Linked DNA regions of Cricetulus griseus. The protein of the gene in region 1 interacts with the protein of each later gene in a pairwise test. Links are inferred from orthologs where the notes say so. Each region holds a gene or a part of one and is shown in the gene's direction. Other genes may lie near its edges.

What was found.
Region 2: the proteins of protein N-terminal glutamine amidohydrolase (region 1) and Eif2b1 interact in binary tests that used the Homo sapiens proteins (3 or more experiments, as listed by UniProt). The two-hybrid records come from large-scale screens. The link is inferred for Cricetulus griseus from reciprocal best matches to the Homo sapiens genes NTAQ1 and EIF2B1.
Region 3: the proteins of protein N-terminal glutamine amidohydrolase (region 1) and Tollip interact in binary tests that used the Homo sapiens proteins (3 or more experiments, as listed by UniProt). The two-hybrid records come from large-scale screens. The link is inferred for Cricetulus griseus from reciprocal best matches to the Homo sapiens genes NTAQ1 and TOLLIP.
Region 4: the proteins of protein N-terminal glutamine amidohydrolase (region 1) and Jup interact in binary tests that used the Homo sapiens proteins (3 or more experiments, as listed by UniProt). The two-hybrid records come from large-scale screens. The link is inferred for Cricetulus griseus from reciprocal best matches to the Homo sapiens genes NTAQ1 and JUP.
Region 5: the proteins of protein N-terminal glutamine amidohydrolase (region 1) and Ppcdc interact in binary tests that used the Homo sapiens proteins (3 or more experiments, as listed by UniProt). The two-hybrid records come from large-scale screens. The link is inferred for Cricetulus griseus from reciprocal best matches to the Homo sapiens genes NTAQ1 and PPCDC.
Region 6: the proteins of protein N-terminal glutamine amidohydrolase (region 1) and Capn3 interact in binary tests that used the Homo sapiens proteins (3 or more experiments, as listed by UniProt). The two-hybrid records come from large-scale screens. The link is inferred for Cricetulus griseus from reciprocal best matches to the Homo sapiens genes NTAQ1 and CAPN3.
Region 7: the proteins of protein N-terminal glutamine amidohydrolase (region 1) and Pnma1 interact in binary tests that used the Homo sapiens proteins (3 or more experiments, as listed by UniProt). The two-hybrid records come from large-scale screens. The link is inferred for Cricetulus griseus from reciprocal best matches to the Homo sapiens genes NTAQ1 and PNMA1.

Annotation. Positions count from the first base shown.
Region 1 is NC_048603.1:29,486,347-29,490,576, reverse strand, and holds the start of protein N-terminal glutamine amidohydrolase, read left to right. Parts: upstream 1-1,430; 5' UTR 1,431-1,534; coding exon 1,535-1,623; intron 1,624-4,230. UniProt on the Homo sapiens protein: Mediates the side-chain deamidation of N-terminal glutamine residues to glutamate, an important step in N-end rule pathway of protein degradation.
Region 2 is NC_048597.1:104,284,476-104,288,667, reverse strand, and holds the start of Eif2b1 (translation initiation factor eIF-2B subunit alpha), read left to right. Parts: upstream 1-1,392; 5' UTR 1,393-1,489; coding exon 1,490-1,502; intron 1,503-2,191; coding exon 2,192-2,293; intron 2,294-2,666; coding exon 2,667-2,803; intron 2,804-2,905; coding exon 2,906-3,022; intron 3,023-4,192. Other genes in the region: Gtf2h3 (general transcription factor IIH subunit 3), read right to left, coding at 1,299-1,311.
Region 3 is NC_048596.1:59,291,283-59,294,782, forward strand, and holds part of Tollip (toll-interacting protein), read left to right. Parts: intron 1-2,563; coding exon 2,564-2,713; intron 2,714-3,294; coding exon 3,295-3,477; intron 3,478-3,500. UniProt on the Homo sapiens protein: Component of the signaling pathway of IL-1 and Toll-like receptors. Inhibits cell activation by microbial products. Recruits IRAK1 to the IL-1 receptor complex. Inhibits IRAK1 phosphorylation and kinase activity.
Region 4 is NC_048600.1:113,438,299-113,441,798, reverse strand, and holds part of Jup (junction plakoglobin), read left to right. Parts: intron 1-110; coding exon 111-312; intron 313-1,141; coding exon 1,142-1,286; intron 1,287-1,676; coding exon 1,677-1,780; intron 1,781-2,887; coding exon 2,888-3,226; intron 3,227-3,500. UniProt on the Homo sapiens protein: Common junctional plaque protein. The membrane-associated plaques are architectural elements in an important strategic position to influence the arrangement and function of both the cytoskeleton and the cells within the tissue.
Region 5 is NC_048597.1:169,043,918-169,047,417, reverse strand, and holds part of Ppcdc (phosphopantothenoylcysteine decarboxylase), read left to right. Parts: intron 1-3,384; coding exon 3,385-3,500. UniProt on the Homo sapiens protein: Catalyzes the decarboxylation of the cysteine moiety of 4-phosphopantothenoylcysteine to form 4'-phosphopantotheine and this reaction forms part of the biosynthesis of coenzyme A.
Region 6 is NC_048599.1:58,022,642-58,026,701, reverse strand, and holds the start of Capn3 (calpain-3), read left to right. Parts: upstream 1-1,260; coding exon 1,261-1,569; intron 1,570-4,060. UniProt on the Homo sapiens protein: Calcium-regulated non-lysosomal thiol-protease. Proteolytically cleaves CTBP1 at 'His-409'. Mediates, with UTP25, the proteasome-independent degradation of p53/TP53.
Region 7 is NC_048598.1:119,613,726-119,617,687, forward strand, and holds Pnma1 (paraneoplastic antigen Ma1), read left to right. Parts: upstream 1-1,162; 5' UTR 1,163-1,828; coding exon 1,829-2,890; 3' UTR 2,891-3,617; downstream 3,618-3,962.

The DNA of each region.
Region 1 (4,230 bases):
TGGCACAGAGCCTCTTTTGAAGCCAATATTCAAGCTGAAGCCGAAGCAATAAATTGGTAACAGACACAAACACATGTTTATTTTATTTTAAGGACTTATGGGTTTTGGAAGGCAGCTACATTCACCAATATACCACCAGCACAGCACTTTATGGGTTTTGGAACTGAGGTTGAGAGTCTGTGGGTGGCCTAGGCCTATAAACCAATCTTAAGAAGTACAGTTTCTTTCTCTGTCTCTCTCACTCTCTCTTTGTAGGTAAGTTCCCTGAGCAGTTACACATGTTCATTACAAACACAGGCAACTAGGAAATCTAAAGAGACGGTTCTCTATGTCCTTCAATCACTGTGCATAAACACTGTTTTGACAATGTTGGTGTCTTTCCTTCTGCAAATAAATACAATTAATACAGAATGCTACCCAGACTCTTTAATTTTTTTTTCTTTTGAGAAAAATTCTTATGTAGTTCAGGCTGGCTTTGTATTCAAAGCCATCCTCACACCTCAGTCTCCCGCATGCAGGGATTACCCAGCACCACACCTGGCTAGAACTTGTGCACTCACTAGATCAGTCTATCTTTCTATATATAAACACATGCATATATAAGTACTCGAAAATTGAAAGAAATTAAACAACAATATGGTGAGATTTGGGTGCAACCCCTCGGTTAGTTTTTTTTTTTTTCCTCTTTCTAGGTTCCTGCTCTGAAACTTCAGCTTTCAAACCCAAGCATCTCTTTCTTTCTATATAAAAGGTTGCATATATAAATAGCCAAAATTGAAAGAAATTAAACAACATTGTGGTGAGATTTGGGTGCAACCCCTCGGTTAGTAGTTTTTTTTCCTGCTCTGAAACTTCAGCTTTCATGCCCAAGCATCTCTTTCTTCCTATATAAAAGGTTGCACAGATAAATACCCCAAAGTGGAAGAAATTAAACAACACTATGGTGGGATTTGGGTGCAACCCCTCGGCTAGTTTTTTCCTGCTGTGAAACTTCAGCGTTCACGCCCAAGCATCTCTTATTTTAGAGCGGGCTGGCAGCCTCAGCGATGGATGAAGGGGGTCAGGAAGCTCACACCTGACCGTCCAACACCACCAGGCCTCCCACCCCCCACCCGATGGCGACCAGGTCCACGCAGCGCAGCGCGAGCGCCCCAGCTTGGCCGGGGGAGGCCTCTCCGTGGACCCCACCCTGCCTCCCACCTCGTAAAGCCGGGCGAGCAGCACACAGATCTATCTCCTCCGCAGCCTGGGACTCGCCGCCCGCAGCAGCAGCTCCCGCAGCCCCGCCCCGCCCCCAGCCCGGGCTCCACCCACTCCAGAGACCCCGCCCACCCGGAACCACGCACACACACAAACACCGGGCTCCGCCCCCATGGCGCGCTGAGCCCCGCCCACCGGCTCTAAGCCCTTCCCCCCGGAAACGGCGCCTGGCGGGCGGTCCGGGCCGTGTGCGCTCCGCCCGGGGCGAGTGTGTGCTGTGCCGCCGCTGCCGCCGCTGCCGCCGGCGGGTCGGGTGCCTGTCCCTCGGGCCTCCATGGAGGGCGACGGCCCCGTCGCCTCGGTCCCGCAGTACCAGCCGGCCTGCCCTGCGCGGGACGCGTGTGTCTACAGCAGCTGCTACTGGTGAGCGCGCGGGCGCGGGCGCGGGCGCGGGGCCCCCGGGGCGCCGCCAAATGCTTCCCCGTCCCGGCGCTCTCCGGAGCGCTGCGGGCCCGCACCGTCCGCGGGAGGAGGGGGCGAGCGCACCCCTGCTCCCCGGAGCTGAGCGGAGGCGTCCCCAGTGCCTGGGGACAGACTGAGGTCCCCGTGGTTTCAGATCCAAGTGCAGGGCGTTTTTCATCTTGAAGACAACGGAGACCCAGAGTTTGTTTTTTGGTTTTTTTTTTTTTTGCAGATTTTTTATTTGAATTAGAAACAAGATTGTTTTACATGTCAATCCCAGTTCCTTCTCCCTCCCCTCCTCCCCTACCACCCCCCCAACTAAAACCCTACTTATCACATATCCTTTTTTCTGTTCTTCCCCTGACTCAACTTTTCTGCTCCCTCATGACCTCTGCATCCCTCCTCTTCTTCCCTTCTCATTCTCATAGCTCCTTTCCCTCCTTTTCCCATGCTCTCAATTTGCTCAGGGGATCTTGACTCTTTCCCCTTCTCCAGGGGACAATGAATGTCTCTCTTAGGGTTCTCCTCGTTTCCTAGCTTCTCTGGCAGTGTGGATTGTAGGCTGGTAATCCTTTACTCTATGTCTAAAATCCACATATGAGTGAGTACATACCACGTTTGTCGTTTTGTGATTGGGTTACCTCACTCAGAATGGTTGGACAGAGGGTTCTTTTTTAAATTTTTAATGTTAATCATTTTTTTATTTGAATTAGAAACAAGATTGTTTTACATGACAATCCCAGTTCCCTTCTCCCTCCCTTCCCCCCCACTACCCCCAACTAAAACCCTACCTATCACATGTCCTTTCTTCTATTCTTCCCCTGACTCAACCTTTCTGCTCCCTCATGACCTCTGCATCCTTCCTTTTCTTCCCTTCTCTTTCTCGTAGCTCCCCCCCCCTTCCCATGTTCTCAATTTACTCAGGGGATCATGACCCTTTCCCCTTCTCCAGGGGACCATGTATGTGACCCAGAGTTTGAGGTGGCGGGAAATCCAGTCAGGCAGCAGACAGCGCTGTCCTGATCATCACAGCACTGTGGTGATCATGGTGGTGGTAATGGTTGCATTTGCACCGTCCTCGTCCTTGTCCTCACCAGATGCCAAGCGTGATCTTAGGTGCTTTGTGTAAATGGACTTGGTTGAACGCCACAGCAACCCCCAAGAGGCAGGTACTGTTGCAGTCAGAACCTTGAGGGGGCTGGAGAGATGGCGCATTGGCTAAGAGCACTGGCTGCTCTTCCAGAGGACCCGGTTCAGTTCCCAGCACCCACGTGGCAGCTCACACCTGTCTGTAATTCCAGTTCCAGGGGCTCTGATGCCAGTGTGCATAAAATAAAGTTAAATATATTATTTTAAAATTAAAAAAAAAAGAACTCTGAGGCGCACAAGGTACGGGATGGCTGTTACTCAGGGCCTCAGGTTGTGAGGCTACTTGTCCTAGGCTGCCGCTCGCCGCTCACCTTGGCTTTTTCATCTCCACACCTTTTCTCTTGTGTAGGGACTTCTTCCCCAACCCAGGAGAAACCTCAGGGTCATCCAAATCTACTCCTCCCCCCTTCACCCGGCCACTCAATCAATGACACTACGAACTTAACGTTTATTCATCTGTCACCTTGGTAGCCCAAGTCCAAGTGCCCCGAGTGGTTCTCAGCCTTCCTAATGCTGCCACCGTTTGGTACATTTCCTGATGCTGTGGTGACCCCCAACCATAAAAGTATTCCGTTGCTACTGTAATTTTGCTACTGTTACGAATCATAATGTAAATATCTGATAGACGACCCCAAGGGCTCGTGACCCACAGGCAATGCCTTGGAGACAGGTTCTATGATCATTATCACCAGGACAAGTTGAGGGATCATCTGTGAGCTTGAAAAACCTGTCCATCTTAGGGTTTTACCCGGAGTGTGGATGTACAGGAAGTAGAGTGGGGGGTGGGAGGGTTAGAAGGATGCTTTGCTCGTCTCTCATTTCATTTATTTGTTTGTTCATTTATTTATTTATAATGTGTATGGGTGTTTTGCCTGTGTATCTGCCCATGCACTGAATGTATAACTGGTATCCAAGGAGGCTAGTGGGCTGAGTCTTTGGGAGGAGCAGCCAGTGCTCTTAACTGCTGAGTCATCTCTCCAAACTGCCCCCCCCCCCACCCCCAAGACAGGATCTCACTGTCTGTCCTAAAGCTTGCTACGTAAACCAGGCTGGCCACCAACTCACAGAGCTATGCCCACCCCCACCTCCTGAGTGCCGGGATTAAAGGCCTGGGCTACCATGCCAGGCTTGCTGATCCTATTTTGTGGGATACTCTTAGAGATAGGGAACAAAGTCCATCTGAGTATCAGTGGCTGTCTGGTTTATTTGTTCAAGGCCTGTGTTTTTCCAACCTCATTTTGAACTTACCTTCTCTGGCCTGTTGCAGGGTTCTCAGCTTTGGCTCTGTTGGCATTTTGAGTATCAAGCCTTTGTTCCATGAGTTTTAGGGTAGGTAATTACGTTTCCTGGCCTGTATCAGACAGATGCTATTGCCAGGTTCCCACACCCCCCAAGTTGTGACAGGTAAACACTTCTCTA
Region 2 (4,192 bases), on another chromosome or scaffold:
CTCCTACCTTCCTTCCTGCATCCCCTGCTCCTTCTTAAGAATCACCCTGCACCTCTGGTTTCTGCAGAACTAAATCCTACTTGCTCTTACTTCCTTTCTAGTACCAAGTAGCTTGAGAAAGAAAACAATGGGTTGCCTGTCAGAAACGTGCACATGAAACACCTCTGCCAATTTCCTTCAGCCTGTGCCTCATTGGCTAAGAAGCCATGGCAGGCCTGCCTTTCTCACAGAGGTGGGAGTAACAGCTATGGTTGCTGAATGCACCTCTCTAATTACTCTTGCCCCCCACAATCCATTCTTCACACAGGAGTCAAAGTGATGCTTCTAATGTTATCCATCTAGATAATTCTGGGCCAGCGAGAGGGCTCAGCTGGTAAAGGCGACTGCTGACAAGCCTGAATGAGTTCAATCCCTGAGACCTAAACAATCAATAAGAGAACTATTCCCACAAGTTGTCCTCTGATTTCCATGAGCATGCTCGAGTGCACACACACACACTAATACTAAATCAGTAAATGCAAGAATCATTGGGAGGAAATGTAATTTAAAAGCTGTAACTAGTAGCTTAGAGTATGAATAAGAGCCTCCCACCTCCCTCTATCCTCCAACTGCCCAGTTTACTCTTCTAGGTTTAACCTCCCAGGATGTCTGTACTTTAAATGAACTTCATAATGTCGCTCAAGCCACAGTTGTAGTGTCTCCATCTTTCCTGAACTCCTAACGAAAGATAGTCCTCTTGAACTTAGTTGCCACACATCTGTCTTCATAGCCCTGGTGGCCTCTTGGAAGTAATTTCACCTGCCAATTGCCTCTCTCGACCCTAAGACACTACACACTCAAAACTTTCCTGTGTTGAGTTCTGTGCTGTAGTCTCCAGTTTGGAAAATAGTGTCCAGTACACAGGGGGCAATCCCATTATTCGCTGAATGACACACTGGGCATGCTAATGCGGGCCTGTAATCCCAGAACTCGGAAGGCTAAGGCAGGTTGAGCGAGCGTCTATATAAAAAATAATTAGGGCTGGGGATGTGGCTCAATTGGTAGAATGCCCATTGAGAATGCACAAAGGTCTGAGCACCACGTAAAATCGAGCTTGATCGGGCACGCCTGTAATTCCCTGCACTCCAAAGCAGACTGGAGGATCAAGAGTTCAAGGCCATCCTTCAGCGAGTTCTACGTGACACCCTGTCTCAAAAATGAAATCGCTGAGTGAATGGACGAATACACTGGCTGCTCGTCTAAAGACCAAACGCGTCCCTCCCAGCCATGCTCCGCGTTCCGGTCCGTGCCACCCTCACCGTCAGCAGCCATGGCGCCCCTAAGCCTCGGAGAAAAGCCGCCCACGGTTCGACGCGCGCACGACAACTTCCGGCGCTGGTGAGTGACGTAAGCCTCAAGCTGGCGGCAACGGAAATGATGCGTGAAGAGCGCGACACACTGTCAACCTGTGGCTTGCTGCCGGCGCGGTTGCGGGCTGCGGGAGGGAGCGATGGAGGACCACGGTGAGTGGGTGGCCGGAGCGGCGGGGACACACGGGTAGTCCGGGCTCGATCCGCTTCCTGCTGTCACTGCTCTTTGTGCCGTGGTCTGGGCCTCTCGGACGCTCGCAAACTGACTTCCCCACACGCTGTCCGAGCGTCCACTTCCAAAGTAACAGTGTGCAGGCCTCCGCAGCTCTGGTGTCCAGAAGGAAGACGCGTTTCCCTACTGGAAGATAGAAGGCATCTTTGGTTTGCTTGCCCATCATGGTTCTCAGAATGTTTTTGTTAAGTGAAAAAGCAAACGAATACACTGATTTTAACGAAAAAGTGAAGTAGGTAGAACTGTAAGCATTTTTACAATTGTGTTTATGCACATGAGTTAACGATTGTAGACTGCTCAAAGGCCTGCAGGAGAAAATAATAACGGGGCTGTGAGGATTCCCTAGACTACTAGCCCCTGGACTTGGTCTCTAAGTTCTCTGCCTTGCACACCAATAGCTTGTTTAAAATATGAAAGAGGTCTGTCCCTGCCAACAGTACGGAATCTTCTCTATCCCCGTCATTGTTTAATGTGCCCTGTAACTTTAAAAGCTACTTTAAAAAAAAAAACCTTTTTGCTTCTTATTCTTGAGGTCAGCAGTTGTTACAAAGTGCCCTAGCCTCATCTTGCTAAGTTCTTGTGATAACCCATTTTTTTCCTCTCTTCCTAGAGTTAATTGAATACTTCAAGTCTCAGATGAAAGGCGATCCTAACATGGCCTCAGCTGTAGCTGCCATCCGCACTTTGCTGGAGTTCTTGAAGAGAGACAAAGGTATAAAGAGTCAGCCTTGAATGGTCTGGGCCTTAGGACAGTCTTCAGATGACTTGTAGGAACGTGGACAGGGAGACATGCATGTTTGCCTACAGTCTCAAGCTCAGCTTCTGTCTCCATGTTCGCCCTTTCAGTCTGGAGGGAGCCCTCAGGCTGTCACTTAAAGGATTCCCATCCACCTACAAAATACACTGGGAGTCAAGAGTCAACAATACAGCCCTAGCCAAAAGGCTTAAATTATAGCAGTAATTTAGCTTTATAGATGAGAACCAAGCTCCTAGCTTGACCTAGATTCTGTGCAAATGCCATAGAGAATGTTCAGAACAATTCTGGTGTTTCTGGGCTATAGTGGTGCCTCACTTCATCATTGCAGGGGAGACACTCCAGGGCCTGAGAGCGAATCTCACCAGTGCCATAGAAACCCTATGTAGTGTGGACTCCTCCGTGGCCGTGTCGTCTGGTGGAGAGCTCTTCCTTCGATTCATCAGTCTTACCTCCCTGGAGTACTCTGTAAGCCCCCCCCCCCCCCCGGAGGCCCTTCTACTTCTCTGTCTACAGATCCTGTCAGCTTTCCTGGGATCTCCCCCCTTCATTTTGCTCTTTTCTCCCCAGGATTACTCCAAATGTAAGAAGATCATGATTGAGAGAGGGGAGCTTTTCCTCAGGAGAATATCCTTGTCAAGGAACAAAATTGCGGACCTATGCCATACCTTCATCAAAGATGGGGCGGTGAGTAGATGGCCCCCTTGTGCTGATAGAATCAAAAGCTTTGGAGTCAGGGTGCTGGGCCTGAAATCCTGACTGTGCCACCATGGACAAGACACTTCTCTGTCCTGCAGTTTTCTTGTCTGTTAATAAGGACAACAGCAGCTGACAGGTTTGGTGAGGCACAAATGAGATGCAAAGTGTAGGCAGTGCTCTGTAAACACAGGTACTATAGAGGCCAGTTACCATGAATAGGAGAAGAACATGGGACCAACATAGATGAGTCTTGAGTTTAATTTTTTTTCCGTTTTGTGGAGGTGGAGATGAAAACAAGGGCCTCAAGCATGCTAGACATGCTGTACCACTGGACTATAACCATAGCTTCTTCCTTAGTAAGCTATTTTTCTAAGAAGTATTTTTAATTACATTTATTTCTTTATTAGGTGTTTGTGTGGGTATGCACAGGTGCCACAGTGAGTGTGTGGAGGTCAGAGGAGTTGGCTCTGGGGATCAAACTTGGGTCATTGGGGTTATGTTAATGACAAATACCTTTACTGACAGAGCCATTTCACCACTCTAAAGAAGTGTTTTTATAGCCAGGCAGTGGTGGCACACACCTTTAATCCCAGCACTTAGGAGATAGAGGCAGGTGGATCTCCGGGAGTTTGAGGATCAAAGCTCCACCAAGAAAGCCTGTCTCAGAAAACCAAAAAGAAAAAAGAAAAAAAAAAAAAAGATGTTTTTATGATTGGGTTTGTAGTTAGTCCTCTAATCTGAAATGAGTCTGACCAGACCAGCTATTACCATGGTCATTGTCATGCATTTGAGCCAATATCAGCACTGGGTGGAGCTGTGACCTATCCCTAGTCAAGTGAGGAATGGCAGGTTCAGCCAGTCTTCAACTTGTCCACTCCACCGGGTAATAAAGCCTTCATGTTTTCTGAGCCAAAAGCACAGCCTTCCCCCACCTCAGCCTCCGCAAACCGTGCCTATATTTCTTGCATTATGGTTCTTAGATGTTGCCCTTGGCGTTACTGCATTTCCCACCTTTGAAGTATGCTGTTAAATATGTGACTTACTGGGAGGTGGAGTTGGGTTTGTGTTAATGGCAGTGTCAGACAGACCTGGGCCAAGTGGAGGCACAACCATGATACTACTCTGCTCAGTGTGTGGCCGTGGTGTGGGTTTCTCGCC
Region 3 (3,500 bases), on another chromosome or scaffold:
GGCATCTCCGAGTACCTTGCCTTTGACCATCTCTCAGGCTGCCCTGGGGTTTTTTAGAGGAGGTACATTATTCGGGAGTGGTGTTTCACATCCCTTGCTTGAATGATGGTTCACCTGGGTGAGTTAGCTTTCTCTACCATAAGGTCATTTTTCTACTCTTTAATAACACAGTTAAACTCAAATTGTTAAAATTTTCCTTTCTTATAATTTTACGACTATATCTTATTGAAAATAGCACATTTGAATTTGATCTTTTTAGGGCAAAAGTATTAAACCTTTGAACCTACTACATTGTGCATGCTTGGCAGTGCACTACCACAGAGCTATACCTCTAGCCACATTTTATCTTAACCATCCCCCACCTCAATAGTCTCTTTCTCTTTAATGAAAGCCTGAAAGAGTATAATATGAAAATCTCAGTGTCTGAAGGTCTCAGTCCCAAGACAGGGACAGATAAAAAAAAAATTTTTAAAAAAAAGCTCTGACTTGCTCCACATGGCCTTTCCTGACCTCCATGTTTGAAGCTGTCCCCATGACTGCCTGTATCCTGACCTATCACTGTAATACCTACTGGCCTGTCTGCCCTCCTGGGTATATCCCTAGGAGACACAGTTGTGCCCTGCTATGACCCTAAAGCTGTAATATATGATATACAATTGTTAGTTACTCCTATGACAAGTAAGAACTTGACCTATGTAGGTTAATCCCAAGAACCTGGCTGAAGAAAGTCTGGTTTTGCTAATCACCTATTTATGATGCATAGATAAAGTTGGTTATACATCTTGGAGGTACACTCTCTAAATTCATTGCAGCTAGCACAGGTGTGAGCCTGGAATCCCTCCGGAGGGACCCAGTGTTCCCTGTATACCATAGACACTGGTTCTTGGCTTCTTGTGCCACAGCCCTTTCTTGGTTCTCCCTAGACTCTCTGAAACTCTGTGTGATGTGCCTTGGAAAAGGCTGTCCATCCCAGAGAGACTTTGGGAACTCTGCCTCTCTTGGTAAGAGATGGTGTCACTGGCCACAGCTACTTTCCAGGAAGCCTCTGCCTGTGAGAACCTGGCTCTGGACTGAGTGACCCCAGAAGTGCAGAGGGGCATGCTGCTGAGTAGTTACCAGTTTACCCCTCACAGACCATGATCCTTACCTGACAGTGGTTTCTGTTTTTGTTTGTTTGTTTGTTTTTGTTTTTGTTTTTGTTTTTAAGTTAGAGGAGAGCAATGGGAACATCATTAGACCAACTGCTCAGGAGTGGCCCACACAGAACTCTGGGCTATATCCTTGGTTGGTTCCAAACTTCTGACTAGTCTGTATTTTCTGGAAACACAGAAATAGGGAGTTAGTAAGAGCCAGACTAAGGGATCCAAGGACTTTTGCTTGCTTGCTTTATTTTTTTGACACAGGATCTTGATGTATAGCTGTCCTGGAACTCACCATGTAGCCCAGATTGGCTTTGAACTCACAGTACTCCCCTGCCTTAGTCTCTTAGGTACTGGGATTGCAGGAGTGAGCCATTATAACAGCCTTTTTCAGGGACCTTGAAAAGAGCAGCCAGACCCCTCGAAGACAGGTGCTGTGAGCTGAAAAACCTGCAGAAACTGGAGGCCTATGTGATGCATATCAGTGGGAGCCCACAGCTAGGTAGGATAGGCAGTAGTGTGTGCAATGGAGGTAGTCAGGGCCACAGAACCTGGTTACCCAGCAGCTCTTAGTAAATTTACTTTATTAGAGTTCACATTTGTGACATTGGTACTTCTTTGAAAGTATGTGGCAGAGACCTGTGCATGATCTTAGGTACGTGGGTGGTCAGATGGTTTGGTGCTCAGGCCCTTCCTCCCGTGGGCTTTTCAGCCTGCGGAGCTTCATCTGCTGTTGTTTAATTGTGAGCATTTCCTCTATGTAACCCTCAGACCTGTACCCACTGGGCAACAAGCAGTTCTGCCTTCTGTTGGGGCACCCTGGTTGAAGCAATAGTTGCTTGCTCCCAAGGCTGCCCTCACTGGTCCTTGGCCCTCCTATCTTGGACCCCAGGCAGGTATGCCATTTCCAACTCGTGTTTTCTTTCTGGGAAGCCCTGGTTCAGCATGTATTCCTGTGGTCTCCCTCTGTTGTAGGTTTCAGTTGTCATCTCATAAGAATATGAACCTTAGCCAGGGCCACTATTAGGAGTTTTAGATAACCTTTCCTTTTGCTCTCCTATTTTTCTTGAAAAACTGTATTTTCTAAGAGCCCACCAGGTCACCCTCCAGCCCTGTTTGCCAGCCTTTTCAGTGACTGAGATATGTCCTAAACCTTCCAAGGGTTTTGTCTTGAGCATCCTCTGAATAAGAAGGTATGCATCTTCAGGGGAAGCAAGCTCAAATGAAGACAGGCTGGAAACTCTTGTGGGTGAAAAAGCAGGCCAAGCACTCTCTAGGCCTTGGTGAGGGGAGGGTGAGCTGGACTGGGCCTGAGTAAACACTGGTCCAAGGGAAGTAGGCTAGTACTGTGAGATTGTTGGCTACATGCTTTGACTTTATTCTGTTTTTGTTTTGTTTTGTTTTGTTTTTATCTTCACTGAAAGGTGTACATTGGTGAACTCCCCCAGGACTTCCTCCGTATAACACCCACACAGCAGCAGCAGCAGATCCAGCTGGATGCCCAGGCAGCCCAGCAGCTGCAGTATGGAGGAGCAGTTGGCACTGTGGGCCGCCTCAGCATTACTGTAGTACAGGTGGGTCTCAGTTTCCTGTTGAAGACTGATGGGGCTGTGCTTGAGTGTGGGAATGAAGATTTCAGCCTTTGCAAATCATTTACCATGTAGACAAGTAGAACTTTGTTGATTCTAGTTATTCCTGAAAATATCCCTGAAAAAATCAGTAGATCCTTGTTGGTTTCCCAGGGATCTGACTAAGATACCTACAGTCACTATTGGTCCATGCTAGGTAGTGTCCTCCATGAGGATGGTTTCTCTAACCCCTTTGTAGCAGCTGGGTTGTACAACTGCCCTGCAAACCATGGTTCCTGATTAATCTAAACTCCATTCTGAGGCCTAGGATGTGCACAGTTCAGGGCACAGTTAGATTAGAGATTTTGTCTAAGTTGCCTGCTGCCAGGTGTGGCCGGGTTCCCAGAGTTGTGTGAGTTTAGCAGTGACTGGCACCATGCTCAGGAGCCAGTTACTGATAAGGTTAGGTGAACTTGAAGGCTGTTTTTTCATGCTCTAGGAAATACCTGCGAGGTAAGTAGTTTAGGTAAGAACTTGCCTTCCTCTCTGCTGGTGGGTGCCTCATTTTTCTAAACTTGTTATTTCAGGCAAAATTAGCAAAGAATTACGGCATGACTCGAATGGACCCTTATTGCCGTCTTCGTCTGGGCTATGCTGTTTATGAAACTCCCACAGCACATAATGGTGCCAAGAACCCTCGCTGGAATAAGGTCATCCAGTGCACGGTGCCCCCAGGTGTGGACTCGTTCTACCTTGAGATCTTCGATGAGGTGAGGGATGTCCCAGTGTCACA
Region 4 (3,500 bases), on another chromosome or scaffold:
AAGAATGACACTTTAGTAAAGGGATATTTGCATAGGGGTGATGATTGGGGGTGAGCTTTCTGACTGGGGTCTGGGGAGCTGACTCAACATGGATTCTGCCTACTCCTCAGTTCTCCTGTAGAGTCTGTCCTGTTCTATGCCATTACCACGCTGCACAACCTGCTGCTGTACCAGGAGGGCGCCAAGATGGCGGTGCGCCTGGCAGATGGGCTGCAGAAGATGGTACCCCTACTCAACAAGAACAACCCTAAATTCCTGGCCATCACCACTGACTGCCTGCAGCTCCTGGCCTATGGCAACCAGGAGAGCAAGGTGGGTCCCTTCACCATGGCTACAGTATCCAGTGGCTTCAGGCCACTTCCCGGAAGGCATACTAATGTGTATATAGATGAATGTGTCTCATATCCTGTTTCTGAATTCCTCAGAACTAATATTTTAAGGTTTGAGAAAAAATTAGGGCTAGGGATATAACTCAGTGATAGAATACTGCCTAGCATGCTGAATGATTCAATCCCTAGAATTGAAAAAGGCTGGGGGATTGGGGTGGAGAGATGGCTTGCAGTACCCATGGCGGCCAGAAGAGGGTGCTGCATTCCTAGAGCTGGCATTACAGATCGTTTTAAGTCGCCATGCGAATGCTGGGAATCAAACCTAGACTCTCTGGAAAAGCAGCGAGTGCTGCTAACAGCTGAGCCATCTCTCCAGCCCTCTCTGTGTGTTTTACACAGGGTCTCACTATCTATCCCAGGGTGACCTGGAACCCTAACTCTCCTTGTAGTCTTCTAACTGCTGGATTAGAGGTGTGGAACACCAGAGCCAGCAGGGCTAAAGGCCTTTTTCTTTTTATTTATTTGTTTCTAAACACTTCTAGACTTTTACTCAGTGTGTTTGTTCTCTTTCCAAAAGGGTTACATCGTGTTACCCATTACACTGCCTTTAGTGACAATGCTGTGCTAGACTCCCTTTGCTAGATCCTTGCCAGCATTTGGTATTAATAGTTTTTTTCCCCAAGATATTGGCTTATTTGATAGTCACCAAAGTCTTAAAAGGTTAATAATGAGAGCTCCATCACCCCCTCACACACGTGAACACATAGGTGTGTGAGCCTGTTATCCTACACTCTGCCTTTCCCTCCCCACAGCTGATCATCCTGGCCAATGGGGGACCTCAGGGGCTTGTGCAGATCATGAGGAACTACAGCTATGAGAAACTGCTCTGGACCACCAGCCGTGTGCTCAAGGTGCTCTCTGTGTGTCCCAGCAATAAGCCCGCCATTGTGGAGGCTGGTGAGTGAGAACCTCAAGGTGGCCTGTTGGGGACTAGAGAGGTGACCATAGCTTAAGAGCTCTTGCTACTTTTCCAGAGGACCTCAGTTTGGTTCCCAGTAACCACATTCGGTGACTCACAACTACCTGTAGCTCAAATTCAAGGGATCTGATGCCCTCTTCTGGCCTCCATGGGCATTGCACATCACATTACACAGACACACAGACACACAGACACACAGACACACACACGAATAATAATAATAATAATAATAATAATAATAATAATAACCCTTTAAAAGTAAAATTATAGAGGAGTGACCTGTGGGGTCAGGAGGATTGGGGTAGGGCCCCTGCCCTGGCAGCAATCTGGCCCCCCTAAGGCTGACAGGACCTCTGTCCCATCCCCAGGTGGGATGCAGGCTCTGGGCAAGCATCTCACAAGCAACAGCCCGCGCCTGGTGCAGAACTGCCTGTGGACTCTACGCAACCTCTCAGATGTGGCTACCAAGCAGGTAAGTCTGGGCCCGGGCCATTCTCTGAAACCATATTGTCAGCCTACCACCTGGGCATATGACCTCGGGGACCTATGAGAAGAGGAAGGAGGCTGACATCTTTAAGTTGGGGTTCAGGTGATGGTGATGGGACAATTTGAGCCTTGACCCTGGGACAGGAGCAGTACTGTTCCATAAAACTCAAGTACAGGGGCTCAGTGGTTAAGAGCATTTGTCTGTATCTCTAGTTCCAGGGCATCTGATGTCCTCTTATAGCTTTTGAGAGCGCTAGGCATACACACATGGTGCACAGATATACAGGCAGTCAAAACACTAACCTCACAAAATACTAACACACACAAAACACTAACCTCAGAGCACTGCTGATTCAGGGCAAGTTGCTGGCACCACCTTCCAAGCAGACTGTATCCATGTGTTTACCCATCACCACCACCTAGCAAGCACCCTTCATTCTGCATGGCTTCTGTAGGCAGGAGCTGAACTGACTTTAACCCTCTTAGCTCCCTAGAAGGGGATCCTGCAACCCCATTGGTTGTGGGAGAAACTAAGGCTCAGGGAGTTAAGAGAAAGCCCATGTTGAGAGCTATTAGATGGCAGAGCTTGCGTCCTGACCCATGACTGTGTGTATCTCTGAGACCGATAGTCTTTTGGATCCACCACTAGACCCACACAGCCCTCCCTGGGAGAAGAGAGGTTTCTGAGTTGGGGATTTTTCTCAGAAGCAGATTTAGCTTAGGGATCCCTGGTGTGACAGAGAAGACCCAGCCAGGTGAGAAGTATGCGACAGGGGACCAGCTGACCACTGAAGCCTATGACCTCCTTGCTAGCTTCCTCTTGACCAGAGGCCTCCTATGGCCAGCAGGGATGGAGCACATGGGATAGAGGAAGGACCATGGGCTTGGAGGCAGGCCTGCAGCTGTGGGTCTGTGGGAAGATCTCCAGGAGAGGCTAACAGCTTTCCCCAGGGCGTGGAAGGCCATGGGGTGAAGGTTCCTGGCCACATAAAAGCAAGACCAAGCCCTTCAGCCTATCCGCTGCCCTCAGACCTACTGGGGAGGCTGTGTAGAGATGACGTGTTCCTTACGCTTCATGCTCTTCCTGTCTCAGGAGGGCCTGGAGAGCGTGCTGAAGATCCTGGTCAACCAGCTGAGTGTGGACGATGTCAACGTCCTCACCTGTGCCACAGGCACCCTCTCCAACCTGACCTGCAACAACAGCAAAAACAAGACGCTGGTGACACAGAACAGTGGCGTCGAGGCACTCATCCACGCCATCCTGAGAGCCGGTGACAAGGATGACATCACAGAGCCTGCTGTCTGTGCCCTGCGTCACCTTACCAGCCGCCACCCGGAGGCTGAGATGGCCCAGAACTCTGTGCGCCTCAACTATGGCATCCCGGCCATTGTGAAGCTGCTCAACCAGCCCAACCAGTGGCCACTGGTCAAGGTACCCACTAAGGGCCAGGACACAGGAGACCTAGCGCACTGGCTCAGAGAACAGGAAGGAAATACCACTCCCAGCACTTTCTACTTTCACAATGTCTGCTCCAGAGACCTAGAGTTCTTTTGCTTACCTGGTTGTTGCTCTATTTGTTTTATTCTTAATTTTTAAAATTTTGTATTAGAAGACTGGAGAGATGGCTCAGTGGTTACTCTTCCAGAGGTCCTGAGTTCAATTCCCAGCAGCCACAGGGTGATTCACAACCATCTGTAAAAAACAA
Region 5 (3,500 bases), on another chromosome or scaffold:
AAAAGCCCAACAGAGACAGATGTTGGGCTCAAGCTGAAGATCAGGGAAGCAAAGCAGCCAAGGTACCAAAGAGCTCTTACCTCTAACAGGGCTGGGGTGTTCCTATTCTCAATATGGCTAGAGAATGAATGCCTGATACTGAGACCTTGCTCCCGTCTTATATACCTTCCTAATGTTGGGATTAAAGGTTCTGAGATCATCTTTGTGTGAGCTGTTTCTCTTTAGAACTGGATCAATCTTGTGTAGATCTGGGTGGCCTTGGACTCACGGAGATCCATCTACCTTAATCCTGAGTCCTAGGGTTAAAGGTGTGTACCACCATCTCCTAGCTTCTGGCTGCTGGGATTAAAGATGTGTATCACCACTGCCTAATCTCTATAGCTTGAGACAGACTTTGCTTTTCTGAATCCTCAGGCAAGCTTTAATAAATCATAAACACTCTATCACCATAGGCCTTCATGGGCAGCAGGCACACATGTGATACACAGACATACATGCAGTCAAAACATCCACACATATAAAACAAATATAATCTCATAGCCCAATGGCCTTGAAATCCTGATCCTCTTGCTTTCCCTTCCCAAGTGATGGGATTGCAGGCAGGGCCTAAGAGCTTGGCTTTTTTCCCCCCAGGCTGCCACACTCCCTATCTTTGAGGTTCTCTTCTCCAGAATTGGCTGAACAGTGGAACATGTCCCCAAACTAACCATTTCCTCAAACAGTTTGACCTGAGCACAGATGTTGCAGACAGTTCTCCGGTGTTGCAGTTTGAACTGTAAGCATCCTTGTGGGGCTACCTTCTGCTCAGTGGGTGTCTTAGAACCCTGAAGGGAAGCTCAGCCCACTCCCTCTTTCCAGACCATCCTGTCTCCAGCATCAGAAAGGTGCTGGAGAGCAGCTGTGTGTTGTCCTGCATTCCTTGTCTCCAGGCCCACAGCCTGGAAATGTCTGTCTCCGTCTGCTCTGGCCTCGCCTCTGTGCTAAACTGTCAGGTCCAGAAAGAGGGGGTGACTCCCCAGGGTTACAGTCTGGCTCAGTGCTAGTCTCTTGACTAGGATCCAGCCTTCTGCCCTGCCTGAGTGGGTTCCCAGGGGCCAGGCTGAGACACTGAGCACAGTGCCAGCCCCTTGGCTGTGGGAACCAGTGTTCTTTCTCTCCCCTTCCTACTGCTGGTTGCTTCAGAGGAGCTGTGGTTTGTTCTGGAAGTGCTGAGCTCCAAGTCAGCACTGGGGAAGCAGCCATGCCGAGGGCAGACAGTTGGGTGTTTGCTGTGGTCCCGGTGCTGTGCTTTGAGAGTGTTTAGAACCCAACCCAGCCTGCCCTACACCAGACATCAAGGCCCTTCTAGGCTTGCTCACAACTTCTGCAAAAGTAGCAGGTGGCACAGAGCCAAGGGGAAGTGTGACTGAAATTGTCCACTAATAGCCAGGTTGTCCTGCTGAGAGGAGTTGGTGGGAAACCAACTCTGGTGTCTGGAATGACGCAAGCAGCCAGATTCTGAGGCTGTTTGCTGTCCCAGGAGAGGGTAATGGCACTGAGGGACAGGCAGGCACTGGCTCTGACCTATGTGTTGCATTGCTCTCTGCTCCCTTCTCCTGTCCTGAAAGGACTCTATTTCTGGGGAGGGGTGTCACAGTTGCTGTCTCCCCAGGAGCTTTCGGGAGGAGGTGCCCGGTGTAATCTGAGCATAGGAGCCTATTTCTCTGGGAGGTGGTCCCTGGCTCCTGAACCTGTGCCTGGGGTAATGGAGGAGCCTGTGTGTGGAGCCTGTACTTAGTGCTAGGGTCTCAGCTAAGAACTTTGATTTGGGTCACCCACCTCTAATTCCACCAACTAGGTAAGCAGGGGACCAAGAGTTCAAGGTCGTCTGTTACATAGGCAGTTCAGGCCAACCTAGACTACACAAGACTGCCTCAAAAAACCACCATACCACATCACCATCAAACGTATTCATATTCTTTCTTATTTTTATTTATTTTGTTTTTTGAGACAGGGTCTATGTAGTGCTGTCCTGAACTTGCTGTGTGGACCAGGTTGGCTTCAAACTCAGAGAGATCAGCATGCCTCTGCCTCCCTGGGGCTAGGATTAAAGGAGTATGCTAGCATGCCCAGGTTGCCCTTTTCTTTCCTTTTCTTCTTTCTCTTTCTTTCTTTCTTTCTTTCTTTCTTTCTTTCTTTCTTTCTTTCTTTCTTCCTTTCTTCCCCTCCCCTCCCCTCCCCTCCCCTCCCCTTCCTTTCCTGTCTCCCTTCCTCCCTCCTTTCTTCCTTCTTCCTTCCTTTCTTCCTTTTTAGACAGAGTTTCTCTGTGTAGTCCTGGATGTCCTGGAATTTGCTCTGTAGACCAGGCTGGCCTCAAACTCAGAGATCCACCTGCCTCTGCCTCCCAAGTGCTGGGATTAAAGGCATGAGCCACTACTGCCTGGCAGTTCTTTCTTTAATACATTATATATTATATTTCTTTAATATATATATATATATATATATATATATATATATATATATATATATACCTGTTACATGTCCTGAACTTGAGATTCCTCTGTCTCCAGAGGACTGGGATTACAGGCATATGCCATCCTACCTAGCATTCAACTATGGTTTGATCTCAAGCTTATATGAGTTCAGCGTTTACAACCTTAAGACTCTGAGTTGGAAAATAGGAAGGGAGGGAGGGGGAGAAAGGGAGGGAGGGAGGATGGATCTGAATTGGTCAAGTTCTTTCATAGCTGCTCTGCTGTGTGACTTGGGTGTAGTCTAGCTTTGGGAGGTGGGGAGACAGTAGTCCAATGGGTGGTTGCACAGGACCATGTGTGTATCTAAGAGTGACCTTGGATAACTGTTTATTTGTTAGGGAGTTGCAGCTTGCTCGTCTGTGAACAAGGGGCAGTACTTTTATAGGGTTACGGTAAGGGAGTTGAGATAATGGCTGAGAAAAGGTATCATGTGTTGGATGTTTTCATTCTCAGAGTCTATTTGGCCTAGGAGTAGAGCTGTTGCTGAGTAGAACATGAACAATCTGGTTCCTAGCCTTCCAGTGATAGTGAAACTAGCCTCCTGCCCCCTGGGATTGCTTCCCAGCCCTGCAGTTGTGAGCCCATGTGAAGGCTTAGGCAGGGAGATTGCATTCAGAGTGGAGATCTGTTGGTGGTATCTGGGGCATCATGGGTGCTGATTGAGTATCCCCTGTGTCTAGGACCATGCCAGAGCCTGAGGGGAGATGATGTGGGCTGAAGAGTCAGCCCCTCTCCCTTTAAGGATGCAAAAACATATCTTTGTAGATGTGTGACACCCAGCCATCCCTAGTCAACTGTTTTGCTGTGACTTGGGGGTACTGAAGAGGAGTGGTAGGCAGAGCATCAACACCTCTCTCCCACTTCTTCACAGACCTGTGTCATCCGGGCCTGGGACCTCAGCAAGCCCCTACTCTTCTGCCCTGCCATGAACACCGCCATGTGGGAGCACCCTCTCACTGCACAGCAGGTGGGCCAGCTCAAGGCCTT
Region 6 (4,060 bases), on another chromosome or scaffold:
AGTTTTACTGGGAACTCAGATCCTCACACTTATGTGGCACTCAGCTGTCACTTCCTACCCTTTCCCATGTCTTCTAAACCTGGATCTATTAAGCTGGTCACTTAGGAATAGGCACAGCTGCAAGCTGAGGCAAGTCTCTACTCAGCCAGACTTCAGATGTATCCATCTTATTGTGACATGGAGGGCAACTAACATGGGTAAAAAACAGGTGGAATCCCAGCAAGCAATCCCCTTCCCCGGCTGCTTTCATTCTCATTTAAAAGCCCTGAAGCCGAGTCTAGACATGGCATCCTTGGACTTGACACCAACCTGGCTCAGTATCTGTTTCCAGCTTCTGTCTAGATACTGATGTGGTGTGGCTACACAAATAATCTTCTAGGATACACATTTTGTAGTAGTCTTGATCTCAGTGTGTATTTGGGGGTAGGAAGAGGCAGGGGGTGTCTAAGTCCAGTGCCTGGGAAGAGAGGGATTTCCTTGACTGAAAATTCTGCTGAGTAGCATTTTCTACCCAGTTGAACTGAAAACTGACTCCAGAACATTCTAGAAAAGATACTCTAATATTAAGTGACATTTGACAGACTAACATTTTATAAAGTAAAAATCACGTTCTCTAAAACATATGGACTATGCCCTGAGAGCTCTCGTGGCTTGGATTCCAGCTAGCTCTTCAAATACTGCTTCCTGTGCATCCATCCGGTGGCAACTGCATCGGTAGCCTGTATGGCTGCCTAGTCCTCAGCACAGTTCTCTGATTTCTGGTGTTCACCTGTCTCAGATGCTCTCCTTTTTTGACAACAAAAGTGCTTAATGTCAGTGTAGAAATACCCAGCGAGGTCCTTCTCTCCCACCCAGTCTAGCCATTCGCTGGCCTTTGATCTCATGCTCACCATTTCACTTCATGTCTATTTTTAGTTTTCCTGGCTTAAGCTTCCTCAGGCTACTGAAACACAACCCTCACTCTCTTTCTCTCCCTCTGGCAAGCATGCTGCTGGTAGGAGCCCCCAGGTAGAAACCGCTTTGAAACCCTTTAGTGTCTCTTCTTGAGGAACGCCTATGGCTTCAGGATCACAGCTCTGCTATTTAAGCTGGTCATAAGCCAGCCAGCTTTCTGATAGGATTTAAACTTTGAAGTGAATCTGCCCATTTACTCTCAGATGAGAGGGTCGCTTTAACTTCCGCTTTGCGATAGCTTCCTTCCCTTGAAGGTAGCTGAATCTTGTTTTCTTTGAAAACATCTTCCTTCCAAAGTTGCCTGCCATGCCGACCGTCATTAGTGCAACGGTGGCCCCAAGGACAGGAGCTGAGCCCAGGTCCCCAGGACCTGGTCCTCACCCAGCCCAAGGGAAGACCACCGAGGCTGGAGGTGGACACCCAAGTGGCATCTATTCAGCTATCATCAGCCGCAATTTTCCAATTATCGGAGTGAAAGAGAAGACGTTTGAGCAGCTCCACAAAAAGTGTCTGGAGAAGAAAGTTCTTTATCTGGATCCTGAGTTCCCACCAGACGAGACCTCTCTCTTTTATAGCCAGAAGTTCCCCATCCAGTTTGTCTGGAAGAGACCTCCGGTGAGTAGTGTACTGGTTTTGTAGCTGGCTAGAGTTTGCCCTCAGAGAAGTCCTCCCACTCAGCACCTCCCCAAGCACAGCTGTGCACATGGGCACCGGGGGAAGGATCCTGGCAAAGGCCTGCTGGGCTCTGACTGCAAGTGTGGAAAGGGAAGGACAGGGTCAAGTCCAAGAGACAGCAGGCAGGGCTGGTTCTCTCTCACTTTCTCTCTTTCTGCTTTTCATGAAAGTAATTGGATCCCTAATTCATCAATAAAATGGCCATCCCTTCCCCAGAACCAGTTCTAGAATGTGCAGAGATTCTTTCTCGGCCTAAATGTATTGAGACTGCTTCCATTTCTCGGGCTAAATCATGAGATGTTTGCCTGTGACCACAGATTTCTGAGACAGGGAAGCCAGGGAAAGAGGAGCAGAACAAAGACTACCTTTTCAAACACAGAATACTGGGCTTAGAAGAATTTTTGTCTGTTTACCTCACGGCATAGATTAGGAAGTCAAGGGCCAGCATGAAATAGATCCAGCACATGACAGGGCCTGGGTGAAGCCCTCCTCGCTAGCCTCAGGCTTTCACTTACAGGGATCCACCAGAGGGAAAATTATGTTTCCCCCGTCTTCCCTTCTCTGATCATGCTTTCAATGTGACTTTTGTTTTTGATGCAAGAAACATTTTAGTCACAAAATAATCTGGGGCTAGGTGTAGAGCTCAATGGTAGAACTCTGCTTAGCATGTATGAGGCCACATGTCCCATCCCTGGCACTGCTAAAACGTAGATAGGAGATAGATAGATAGATAGATAGATAGATAGATAGATAGATGAGAAAAAGTAATCACAGAGAGAAAGAAATACTTATTGCATGTCTGCTAGCTTCACACACTAAGCAAGTTACTAAGACAGTCATGAGTAAGTGACAAAAACTTACCATCGTGAAGCCTGGAGTCTTAAGGGGTTGGGCAATGAGTTAAGAGTGACTGTCAGGACTCAGTGTTCAGAGTGGCCAGGGTCAAAAAGAGCAGGTCATGCCTGGGGAGAGAAAACTTCCATGAAGAAGTAATGTTAGGCTCTTCACAGGATTCACTGGTCATGTTTTTCTCTATTTACCAACTAGAGCTGTCACCAGGCTCCTCTCCTCTTCCGCTGCCCTTTGGTAAGGCCCATCATGGCTGTCATAAATGTCCTCAGTTTAGAAGAGAATGCTGCAGTGGGCCAGGTGTAGCTCGGCACACACCTTGTGTGTGTGTGAGGTCTCAGATTCCATCCAAGCCGTGGGGGTGGGCAACCCAATGGATTTAGACATGCCGCACCCCTGTTGGACCTGTAGCAAGTCTTAGCTGAGCAGCAGCCCTTCTCAGGCTAGCATATGCTGGCCTCTCACCTTCACCCTCTTCCCCCAGGCTTGATGCTACAGCTGAACATCTGGCTGCAGTGCCTTTCCAGGGTTTGGCTGATTGATTTGTCCTTGCTTTCACTGCACAGCTGCTCAAATGCCTCTTCCTCCGGTGTTGAGAGCAGGATCTGTTGTTGACCATTTGTAGACACAGCACATATACCGAGCACAACAGTACACAAATGATGATAGCAAATAAAAACCCACATCTAAGGGTTGGACACAGGACAGCCCTGCTTTCCAAAGTAGGGGGCCCCCTACTTGTATAATACTATTCAAAGGACAAAGGGAGCAAAACCTACAAACAAAACACTGTTCTTACTGGAATCACTGATAGCTTTGACTCTAAAAGCTAGATTTGCACACACACACACACACACACACACACACACACACACACACACACATATATATATATATATATATATATATATATATATATATCCTGCAGTGCTCTGGGAGTGACAGTCATCCCATGTATACATTGTCCTTTCAGCACATATGAACCATTATGCTCCAAGAGACCTGGCTGTTTGATACTGAGCCCCTACCACCATCACCAACATCAAAGATCCTGAATTTTCCAACCTCCTGATTAAAATGCCTGTGTGTAAGAAAGATCAGGGCATGGGGGTGGAGAGATGGTTCATTTGGTTCCTAGCACCTACAGGTGGTGGCTCATCACTGTATAGTTTTCCCAGTTCCCGGGGATCTGATGCCTCTTGTGATCTCTGCAGGCTCCAGCACACATGTGGTACACATTCATACACTCAGGCACACATACAAGTGTACATACAAACGGAAAGACTGGCGCATACGTCCTTGTATTTATTAACATAAATTATAGGATGGATTTAGAGATGGGCAGTTGGAATGGGTCATGCACTTGTTATCCAAGCTCTTCACTTTACATGATTATGGTCCAGAAAGTACAAAGGATTATGTATGAGTCACACAAATTAATTGAAATTAGAAAATTGAAATGACTCCAGAACTTTCTGAAATGTAAAGCTGTAGCTAGGCAGTAGTGGTACACACCTTTAGTCCCAGCACTTGGGAGGCAGAGGTAGGTGGATCTCTGTGAGTTCAAGACCAACCTGGTCTA
Region 7 (3,962 bases), on another chromosome or scaffold:
ACACGTTTTCTCTGTATTGTTTTGGAGGTTGTTCTGGAACTTGCTCTGAAGACCAGGCTGGCCTTGAACTCACAGAGATCCGCCTGCCTCTGCCTCCCGAGTGCTGGGATTAAAGGAGTTTGCCACCAATGCCCGGCGCCATATTCTTTTTTTTGTAACGATTTGTTTATTTTTATTTTATTTGCATTTGTGTTCTGTGTCTGCATGTGTATCAGTGTGAGGTTGTTAGATCTTTGGGAACTGGGGTTACCGACAGGTGTGAGCTGCCATGTGGGTTCGGGGAATTGAACCCAGGTCCTTTGGAATAGCAGCCAATGCTCCTAACCAGTGAGCCTTCTATCCAGCCCCCAATGCCATATCTTTATAGGGGTGGGGTTTGTGTGTTTATTTATTTATTTGATTTTTTGAGGCAGGGTTTCTCTGTGTAGTTTTGGAGCCTGGCCGGGAACTCAATTTATAGATCAGGTTTGCCTTGAACTCACAAAGCTCCTCCTGCCTCTGCCTCCCGAGTGCTGGGATTAACGGCATGGGCCACCAAGGCCCGCCTGATTTATAGGGATGTTTTTGCCAGCTGGGATTGACAGGCCTTGCTTGAAGAGAATTTACCCTACCTTTCTGAGCCTTAAGCATTCTCTTTTGTTATCCTGTATACTCAGTAAGATCAAGAAATGAAAGTGTTTGCAGTTTGCCTGGCTACAAAGAAGTAGCAGCAGCAGCATTTTGTTGGTTTTTTTTATATATATATATACAAAATTTAGGCAAGAAAGCATAGTAAGTCTCACAGGAACCTGGAGATGGCATTCTGTCTTTTGCTTTCCTGGGGAGGAGCAAGCAGCAGCTGTGGTGTGTGGTCAGGAGGTACGCAGAAGTCAGAGTGCTGAGTGTTTTCATGGGCTGCATAGTGAATGCATAAGCTGGATGAGCAACATGAGACAGACAAGTCTGTCGTGGTGGATGCGTATCAATAAGGCCAACTTAAATTCACAGCAAAATTAGATTAAGAAAAAAAGAAAACGATGCTTTGCAATATTTATTGTTAAGAAAGAAGCTGGGAAATACGTGTGTGTGTGTGTGCGCGCGCGCGCGCGCCATCACAAAATAGACTCCTCAACCCCTCGGTACCATAGCAACCGCCAGATCCTCTGGAGCTCGCGCATCTCCCGTCGTCATGGATACGGTTGCCACGGCGACACTGACGAGCGGACCGGCCCCGCCCTGCACTGCAGCTGCACGGCGGCGGCCGTTGCGGGAGCGCGCTGCTCTAGACGCTGAGCGGAGCTGCCTCCATCCGGCCTCCCGCCTTCCGCGCCTCCCTGAGGCCTCCGTCCCCGGTGCTCGCCTGCTGCCGCAGCCGCCGGACCCGAGTACCGCCTCTCCCGGCGTCTTCCCAGCCACTGCCTCGCGTGACCCTACGCCCGCGCCTACCGCCGGCCGGCCGGCCCGAGAGCGGCGGGGGGGAGCTGCCACACCCCGCGACCGCACCCGGCCGTCTCCCTCGTGAAGCTGAAGCCCACCGCCTTGCGCCAACCTTGCTTCTCCCCTGCCCGCCGTGAGGCCACGAATAGCTGCGGCCAGCCCGCACCTGCTCGGACCAAAGAGGGCGACATTCGATAGGCAGAGTGCCCCGAGGCACCTGACACTACTGACTTTGGGACCCGGAAGGGACGAGACTGGACTCCGGTGTCACTGGTAATTGTGGTTGCTTGAAGCTTGTCGCCCCCTGGCCTACCCGGGGGAGGGAGGCATGTTGTATTGTCCTAGGTCCTATAGCACTGCGAGCCAGTCCAGTCGGTGTCTGTAGAACTGGCACCCTTAATAGTGGGGCGAAATGGCTTTGACGCTCTTGGAAGACTGGTGCAGGGGAATGGATGTGAACTCTCAGAGAGCTCTGCTGGTCTGGGGGATCCCTGTGAACTGTGATGAGGCTGAAATCGAAGAGACCCTCCAAGCTGCCATGCCCCAAGTGCCCTACCGAGTACTGGGGAGAATGTTCTGGAGGGAAGAAAATGCGAAGGCAGCCTTGTTAGAGCTCACCGGGGAAGTGGATTACTCCCTGATCCCTAGAGAGATGCCAGGCAAAGGAGGGCTCTGGAAAGTGTTCTTTAAGCCCCCCACTTCTGATGCGGAGTTTCTGGAGAGGCTGCACCTCTTTCTAGCTAGGGAAGGGTGGACTGTGCAAGATGTTGCTCGTGTGCTTGGGTTTCAGAACCCTGCTCCCGCTCCAGGCCCAGAAATGCCAGCAGAGATGCTCAATTATATTTTGGATAATGTTATTCAACCTCTTGTTGAGTCCATATGGTATAAGAAGCTGACGCTATTCTCTGGGAGGGACATTCCCGGGCCTGGCGAGGAGACCTTTGATTCCTGGCTGGAGCACTCGAATGAGGTCATAGAAGAATGGCAGGTGTCTGATATAGAAAAGAGACGGCGGTTGATGGAGAGTTTGAGAGGCCCTGCTGCTGATGTCATTCGCATCCTCAAGACCAACAACCCAGCCATAACCACCGCGGAATGCCTGAAGGCTCTTGAGCAGGTGTTTGGGAGCGTGGAGAGCTCTAGAGATACACAGGTCAGATTTCTGAACACTTACCAGAACCCCGGGGAAAAGTTGTCATCTTACGTCATTCGTCTGGAGCCTCTGCTACAAAAGGTAGTGGAAAAGGGGGCCATTGATAAAGATAACGTGAACCAGGCTCGCCTGGAGCAGGTCATCGCCGGGGCCAACCACAGTGGGGCCATCCGAAGGCAATTGTGGCTGACTGGGGCTGCGGAACGACCGGCACCCAACCTCTTCCAGTTGCTGGTGCAGATTCGAGAGGAGGAAGCCAAGGAGGAGGAAGAGGAAGCTGAGGCAGCCCTTTTGCAGCTAGGCCTGGAGGGGCACTTCTGAGTCCCTGGATCAGTCTGGCTGCTTTTGTTATCCCTGTGCGGTTTTACAAGCCTTGCCTCTCATAGTAAAGACCTAGCCTCCTGTTTTTGTTTTGTTTTCTGGGGGATGGGATAGGGGAGTCAGGCCTGCGTATTTGTGTAGCAGTCACAGAATTGCGTGATTGGCCAGGGCTGCAACAGTAGAGGTGGTTCATACTGCCTAAAATGAATGCTTGATGCAAGCCCTCCTAGTGACATCTTTGACAGTTGTGAAAAATGTGAAGCTGAGACACTTCCTGTCAGGATGATTGTGAAAGTGCAAGCCTGCTTCACAGGCTGTATGGTACAGACTGACATTTGTTACTAATATTGTGGATAGTTTTACTGTACATTGTCCCTAATTTATATACATGGGAAGAATATGAGTCTGTTAGATGATACTGCTCATTTTGAAAATTCAGATTTCTCATTCCTCACGGCTCAACATCAGAACCAGTTTACCAGCAAAGTACTCTAGGATTAAAATTGGCAAGTTAGAAAAATGTGATTTTTATGAAGAGGCACAACCTACTTTTCATGGTGTAAGATACAAATATAAGTCAGGGGGAATTTCCATAAACAAGCTACATTTTCCCCACATGAATTATTTGTCATTTAATTATTGGTCATGTTGATGCTAAGTGTTCTAAATTTGAAGTTATCAAATAGATGTATACAAATAAAAATGTGAAAATTCTCATCTTGCTTTTCCTGACATGTATAAAAAATTTTCAGTGTAACTTAGCTCTGCACATTTTTTCTCTGCACATTTTTGCTCATGTCAAAAAATTTTTTAATCTCCTTGCTATGAGCTTAAATTGCAATATCACCTACACATTCTTGTGTTGCCGGTTCCTCGGTTATTGTTTTGTTTCTTTTTCACGGTCCCACTCGATAGCTAGCTGAGGCTGGCTTGGAATTCACTCTGTAGCCCAGGCTGGCCTCAAACTTGTAGCAATCCTCCTGCCTCCAGCCTCCACAGTGCTAGGGTTACAGGTGTGAGCCACCTCACCCAGCTATTTCTTTTAGATACAGTCTCACTATCTAGCTCCGGC